Linked DNA regions of Tribolium castaneum. The protein of the gene in region 2 purifies or fractionates together with the protein of the main gene of each other region. This does not show direct contact. Links are inferred from orthologs where the notes say so. Each region holds a gene or a part of one and is shown on either strand. Other genes may lie near its edges.

Evidence for each region.
Region 1: the proteins of Trx2 (region 2) and AIF purify together in Homo sapiens (affinity purification with mass spectrometry; 3 studies listed by BioGRID and IntAct, with this or other methods). This does not show direct contact. The link is inferred for Tribolium castaneum from reciprocal best matches to the Homo sapiens genes TXN and AIFM1.

What each region holds. Positions count from the first base shown.
Region 1 is NC_087402.1:8,007,207-8,011,774, forward strand, and holds the start of AIF (apoptosis-inducing factor 1, mitochondrial), read right to left. Parts: upstream 2,906-4,568; 5' UTR 2,524-2,905; coding exon 2,436-2,523; intron 2,384-2,435; coding exon 2,187-2,383; intron 2,140-2,186; coding exon 1,963-2,139; intron 610-1,962; coding exon 406-609; intron 362-405; coding exon 231-361; intron 182-230; coding exon 1-181. Other genes in the region: lipase 1, read right to left, coding at 3,126-3,275, 3,326-3,471, 3,522-3,606, 3,655-4,374, 4,426-4,521. UniProt on the Homo sapiens protein: Functions both as NADH oxidoreductase and as regulator of apoptosis.
Region 2 is NC_087401.1:17,531,599-17,534,717, forward strand, and holds Trx2 (thioredoxin-2), read right to left. Parts: upstream 1,365-3,119; 5' UTR 1,227-1,364; coding exon 1,203-1,226; intron 1,089-1,202; coding exon 945-1,088; intron 885-944; coding exon 735-884; 3' UTR 519-734; downstream 1-518. Other genes in the region: myelin regulatory factor, read left to right, coding at 1-47; transmembrane protein 53, read left to right, coding at 2,262-2,470, 2,525-2,732, 2,851-3,003, 3,052-3,119. UniProt on the Homo sapiens protein: Participates in various redox reactions through the reversible oxidation of its active center dithiol to a disulfide and catalyzes dithiol-disulfide exchange reactions.

The DNA.
Region 1 (4,568 bases), on a different chromosome or scaffold from region 2:
AGCACCTGTGGCGATGAGGCACTTGTTGTATTCAATGGCGTAGCCGTCTTCGAGATAAGCAATTCGGTTGACGACGTCAAGACGGGTTACTTTGTAGCCTCGAGCTACGGCTACGCCCCCATTTTCGTTCTTTAGCAAGTCTTGACACTTGATATAAAAGTCTTCAGGCTCGTAGTAAAGGCTGGAAAAATCGTTATTGTTGTTTTGTTGTTGGCTGTGAGAAAAATTACTTTCGTTCCGATCCGTTCCACTGTTTAAAAATGAGCTTCTTGACTGATTCTTCGTCCTCATTGAACCACATTTCTTTCGATAACGGGGGACGCATGTAAGGGTGAAACGATTCATTTGTCACAACTAAAACCTGATCGATTGTTAGTATAGTGTTTGGGTGGTTAAAAAAATTACTTTTGCGGTTGGATCAGCTGATTTGATTGCACGGAAGGCTGCAAATGACGCAGTTCCGCCCCCGATCAGTAAATAAGGAACTTGATTTGGGATCTCTTTTGAATGTAGAGGGTCTTTAACAGGTGCTCTCTTAGTTTTCTTTTTCTTTGCCGCCACTATTTTTTTCGGTTTGCTTTTATCTTCAAAGTATCCAACGTAATACAGCTAAAGGTTCAGTGTGAAAATAAAATTATAGGCCATTTCGGGACGCTTTGCGTGTGCGTCATTTTTCAAATAACAACATTACAAGTCTTTTTAATACACATTTATTAATAAATTAACAAATAAATCATTATTAATAAAATATTGTACGAAGATTTTTAAAATGTAGAACAAGGAAGATGTATTTTATGTTTAGAAGTTCTTTTTTACGTCCAGAAATTTGGATTACTTATTAAACTTACTTAAACAAGAGTAGGTAAACAAACATTCCTTGTATTTTATGTTGTAGTTTTTGTTTGATATTTCTGAAAATAATGTTTTTGCCTATGAGATTCAATTATTTCAAAAACTTAGCAAAAACTACTAGTAAAAAAACATTATGATTAACAACCACATATATCCAAAAATGCACAAAACATAGGGTGTTTTACTTATTGACAGTCGAGTCCTTGAAAAATTAACCAATGAAATGTCTTTGACTTGACATCATACGTTAGTGTAGTGGGTGAAAAACTTGTTTTATAATTTTTACGGGTTGTTTTTTCGCGTGTTTAATGCACAAATAACTGATTTTTTATCGAAAATGTGCAGCTCGCAGCCAAACGGATTACGCAGCTTTTGAAAACGACACGATGGAGGTTAAGGTTAGTTATTTTTCTTATGTTAAGTCAGTTTAGTTCTGTTTCAAATGAATACAACATACAATTATGCTAACCCTGAAAATGCAATAAAGCCGAGTTTTATTTATCTGAGTAAATTGAGGACGACAAAAGGAAAAGATGCACAGGGTCGGACTACGGTTTGGGAGCCTTTAGGGCCTAAACTAATGTTAATACTAATACTTTTTTCTTTACCCTGATTTTACGTAATTCATAACTTGTAAGTGATGTTTTTAATAAAAAATTGGCTTTACTGTAGAGAAGATTTACTCTTCTCTTACTCTTACGATTATTTTGCGCCGCAAAACCATTTTTTCAAGAGATGTTGTCAAAACTAGCCAAATTATTTACACACCCATAGTTGTAAATTTTTTGTTTATTTAGTGCATATGAGGTACTTACCTTCTTATCCAATTTTAGCGGATTCTGGCTTACTTCAAAAAATTTCGCGAAAGAAAAAATTATGATTCGTAAGAAAAGTTGGACAGTGCTGTGATAAGGAATTATAAAAAAAACAGAAAACCAAAAAGAACGAAAAAAAAAAATAAAAAACGATACAGCTGAAGTATAATCTGTAAATTAACGTTCTAGACTTCCATTGACTGTTTCAATTTGCATAGTTTTGGATAATCTTTTGACTTGATGACGCCCACGCAAACCGTTTTAGGTTTTTGTTTAATAGAAAAATTCTACATACAGCTCCTAGCGTCGCTGCTGCTATTAGAAGCCCCACAAGGGCGGCATTTTTGTAATTATCCCACTTGCTTCCCTCGTCATGCGGGCACTCTGGCGGGGGCTCCTGTTTAGCTTGTGGACATTCGCTTTCCAGAGTGGGTTTGACTGGACAATCCTCTGGATTAATGTGGGGCAGTTTCTGCAAATTTTTCATTAAGTGTGTCTAACAAAATATTAAGGAGGTACCGATGGTGGAGGAGGTGGGGGCGGGGTGCAAGGATGGATATCAACAGGTTTACACTCTTTCAAGACCAGTTTAGGGCGTTTTTGGGTTTTTTTCTCTTCACAAGCTTTGTTTTTACCATCTTGTACCTTTTTGTTCCCATCGTCGCTACTTTTTGAATAGAACCGTGTCGGGTGGGTAAACTGGACCCGCTGAAGGGCTGGAAATATCGGAATTCAAGTCTGGACCCACCTGAAGGTGGCTCAGCTCACCTAGACATCGGGAGGCCTCAACTGGGGATCTCTGGAGGATTTTGATTGTTACGTTCTTTAGTTGCAAGAGATGGTTAATCCGGAACATTTCTTAAATGCGTCGAGGTGGAAGTTGGGAGAATTTAATTGAAAAGCATTGCTGAGCTGAATGATAAATGACAAAAGTAAAAATGACACTATTATGTGAAATTTTTCAGTCTTGATGAGAAATACTGTAACTGTGAGGTCCCGTAGTCGTTTTGCAACAATTATTAGAGGATTAGAACCAACACTAACACTTTTTGCCGAATTTTTGAGCTCACGTTTTTCATCAGGGAAAACATAACCTCAAACTCGTCCAAGAATTCACGAAACGGTAAATAAAAAGATTAAAAGGCACATGAGTCAGTTACACAGTTTTTGATGAACTGTGTGGAAAATGTTCAAGTTGATATGAATATTATGTTTTATTTGCCACAAAAAACTAATTTTTGATTGTATAACTGGTTGTCTACACAACACATCCGTATTGTTATTTTTTTTTAAAAATTATTTCGAACAATTTTAATTTTTTGGTTTGCTTTGGATTAGATATTACTGGTTGAAATAGATCGGTAATTTTTATGTATTCACCGTTTTTGCTCACTAAATTTTAAGTGTATTCATGTGAGGAAGAAAAAAACACATAAGCGATCCTATGTAAAAATTTATTCAGTACTTTTGCATAACTTTAATTAGCTCTACATAGAGCATATTTACAACATCCTTTGCAAAAATGAAGTCCAAGTGATCGAATAGGTCGTACGGTATGAAATAATCATTAGCTACATTTCCAAGATTCTTTACTACAGTTTGCGCATCCTGAAATATTTCCAACTTAAAGTGTAGTCAATAATGAATTCGAGAATTACCAAGTAGTTCACCAGCTGGTCATTTTTTCCATAATAAACAGCCACAGGTGCTGAAATTTTCGACAAATCATAGGCCGGGGGTGTATCGGTTCCATAAATTTCCTTGTTTTTTTCTTTACTGCCAAAATCAAACTGCGAAAATCCACCTAAATAATTTGGATTAGAATTCAATTAAAAATCCAAAAGGGCCTTTTACCATTTTTGATAAGTTGGCCATAGTGATAAAGCTGTTTCATGGCTGCGTTTGAGGGTGCATTTGTAAGAATTACAGGGAATTTTTCCTAGAAAATAAAATTGGAAAAATTAAATAACCACTGCTTATAACATACGAAGTCAAATTGCGGTTTATCTTGTCCACCTATGAGACCGATAACATCTTCGCAGATGTTGAGACTGTCGGGATTTGAGCAAAAATCAGACGCAAACTTTCGTAGTTGTGCCAGAAGCGGTATTTCAAATATTGTGTATTTCTTTACTACTTTCTCCAACTCAAAGATATATTTTGAAAGACCTACTAAAAGCGTAGTGGACTGATGCTCCATATACGAGGCAGGCCCCATAAGTGAGGCAATTTTGATTTTGCTGTTATATTCTGGCCTAGTGGACCCCAAGACCATGAAGGCAGTTGTACCTTGAGAGTGTCCTACATAATAAATACTATCGTCACCGTTTACATCCAAGATGTAATCTATAGCAGCGGGCAGGTCGTAATACCCGATTTCATGCCAACTGAAATCGAAAAACTTCTCAGCATCTGCTACTATATCCAGAGTTGTGTGATTTCGCGACCATCCGTTCCCTCTAGCATTACCAAGCCATACATCATATCCGATGTCGGCCAAAATATAGGCGAGACTATTGTTCGGACCCATATTTACGTAATCGGCCGAAGACGATATGAGACCATGCATGAGCAAAACGGCCGGTCTTTTGGTCGAATTATCGTTGTTTTTACCATGTGGTATTCTGTGGTATGTTAAGATGTAACCATCTTCGGTTGTTATGTAGTGGGTTTCACACACGTAGCCATGCTTTTCTATCATTTCAACCTTTCGTAAAGGAGTTAAGTCAAATTTTTTATTTGAAAGGAAAGCACTTACTGTGTTCAAACCCACGTCCGAGTCTGCGGACACTTCACGTCCATAGAGGAGACTTGAGAGGAGGAAAATGATTACCAGTTTGGTTTGGATAGCCATTGCGGATCACTGATGAGAGGATTAGGACCACTAAACGAATTTATAAC
Region 2 (3,119 bases):
AATTTATCGAATATAATTTCCATTTCTACCGGCACTGTGATGAATAAACGATACGTACTACTCAAAAAAAGGAAACTAAGAACAAGAAATGCATGACATTTATTTATTTACGTGTTTTTTTTTAAATATTATATTTTTTTAATTGTTTTATCAAAGTGTTCGATGTTACTACAGCATCACCTAGTTGTAGAAGTACCTGTATCTGAAAGATTTGAACACTTTTCTAGTTAGTGTAAAATGAAAAAGCACCAAAAAAATATTGTAGCGTTTTTAGATTATGACTCATATAATGTACTTAATTTTCTCGTCCGTCCAATAAATTGTATAATGTGTAGATTAGACTTTTATCGTATTGTAAAATATTTTTCTTGTTTGACAAATTTTTATTATTTTATAGAATTAAAAATATAAATGAACAAATACTAGTTTTAGCGTAAATATCATGTATTATTGCAATATTGTTTTATTTTTTTGTGATTGTGTAAAATAAATTGTTTTTTTGATTTAAAAAAACGCAGTTTTGTTACGTTTTAATGACTTTATTTTGCTTTTACATCATTTAAGGCGCTACTTGGTGAATCTCAAAATATACAACAATTCACGCTTTCAAATACAATTAATATAAAAAATAACAGAACCTACGCATTGAATCAAGAAAAATGCTCGGATTACAATTTTTTTTTGCAAATATTTGTGTTAAAAGTACATGAAAAAATTAAAGAAAACGAAACAATCTACTTGTTCTCCACTACCAACTGTCTGAGCTTTTCATAGTTGGCGCCGCTGAACTGCGTGATCGTTTGACTATTCTTCACGAAAACAAAAGTAGGCATTGACGAAATATTATATTCCATCGCGATATCTTCGCATTCGTCCACATCCACCTAAAACAAAACACGTTGACAAAACAAACGTCAAATAGATACACACACACAGCCGCCTACCTTGAAAATGTGCACGTTTTGGAATTCCTGAGCCAACTCTTCCAATTTCGGCGAAATCATTTTACATGGCCCGCACCAAGTAGCGAAGAAGTCGATGACGACAAGTTGGTCGCCGGCATCGGTGAGCTTCGACACAAGGTCGGCCTGTGAAACAAACACTCTGTATATTAAATTTTTTGTTCCGGCTAATCGAAGGTCACGATCTGTCAAAAATCTATTGCGTTTCCGGAAAATGTGCCACGCCCACATGGGCCTTACCTTATCGTTGATGTGGGTGACCATGGTAAGGTTACGATGGGCCTCCGCTGTTTGATGGGTCTTTTTCCGCCGAAATGGGCAACAGAAAGGAATGATTTGAAGATGGACGACAACACTCGTACAAATGACTTGACACAATGCCACTTTGTTATTTAAATGCGCATGCGTCACCTAAACTTTGCTACGATTGGTGGGTCCAAGGTCAAGGGTTGAGTGATACAGGTCGGACCATGTGAGCGATTTTATCAAAATTGTAAAAGAAGACCTTTTGTTGGACAGTTTCCACGCCTGGAAAAGTCCGGGGTGTCTTCCTGGCGCCACTTTTGCCGTGTTTTTCGCAATTCGGCGCAATTGTCACACCTGACCCAAGGCTTGGTCTTAGTCATGTCGTGACCAAAATTAAATTTTTACGTCAGTGTTCAATTCAATCATCAATTTTGAGAATTTGGTGAATAAATCACGAAAATAATTCGGTTAGAGTGATTTTTTATTTTTATGAAATCAATAAAAGCGGAATTTTATCAAGCAACCTTCGAATAAAGGCACACGTGACTTATTATCGGTCACGTGGTATTGTAATTATTACGAAAAAAAGTGAGAATTTCATTATTTACATTACTCATTATTTACTCAGCGGATTTGAGTTGAGATCAGACGCGCTTATCTCTTATCTATGTAGTGAAATAATTGTATTTTAATCTATGTTTAAGTATTTTACGATTTTTGCAATAAACACTTGTCCTTGGTGAAACTAAATCACAACAGGACTAAAGTTTTTTAGAAATCGTAATAAATTGTTTGCAATGGCCAAAAACTTGCTAATGTATATGCAATCATTTAGATTATTATTGAAAAAACTCCACTGATATGAGTAATGCATAACAATTTAATCTAGAACTGTTTGAAAAGCGCTTGAGTTAGTCGAGAAATCGTTTAAATTTGGGAAAGTATATGTAACCAACAATACACAAATTGTCACTGACGTCGTCCCCCACGTCACTCAGCTTCGGCGCCGTCATCCACGTTCATTTATCGATCGATGCGCACCGTTTTTGAAAAATGGCCGGTGCCGCCGATCTCGACAATCTCGAATATTACATCAAATTTCCCAGTCCAAATTTTAACTACAGCCAACCGAATGGCACCGGAGAAAGTGACTACGTTTTTGTCGTCAATGAAGAAAAAATCCCCGTTATCCTACTTTTCGGTTGGGCCGGATGTCAGGATAAGTATTTGGCCAAATATTCGCAAATTTACGAAGACCGAGGGTGAGAATAATTTTTTGATTTTTACAAAATTTCAATTTCCATTTTTTTTAACAGTTTGATAACTTTGAGATACACCGCTCCGGTGAAATGCCTCTTTTGGAAGCGACTGCAGATGATCACGATTGGAGAACGACTCGTTAAGCTTTTGGTTGATTTAAATTTTGAGAATCACCCGATTATTGTGCATTGTTTCTCAAATGGGGGCGCTTTTCTGTATCAGAATTTCACGCTGGCGCTTGAAAAGAGCCCCAAACCGATTCAGGTAAAACTTTCCATGTATAATGATTATTCATGAGATACAAAAATAAGCCTTGAAATGCTGTTAACTTTGCCATAAAATGTTTGTTTAAAGTATCGGACAAAATGTACTGTTTGTGCAGATAAAAGGAGTGATTTTCGACTCAGCGCCCGGAAAACGTCGCGTTCTGAGTCTGTTTCGGGCCATTTCGGCAATTTTGGGTGGAAGGCCCCTTTACAATATTCCCGCTTCAGTCCTCATGACTATGTTTTTGTCTATGATTTGGTTATACGAGGTGCGTTCGCACCAAAAACTTTAAATATTCCTTGATTTATTATTGTAGGTTGTTAGCAATTACATCAGTCCGAAAAAAACGTTCCAATCGAACCCGTTAGAAAACTTGAAAGATGA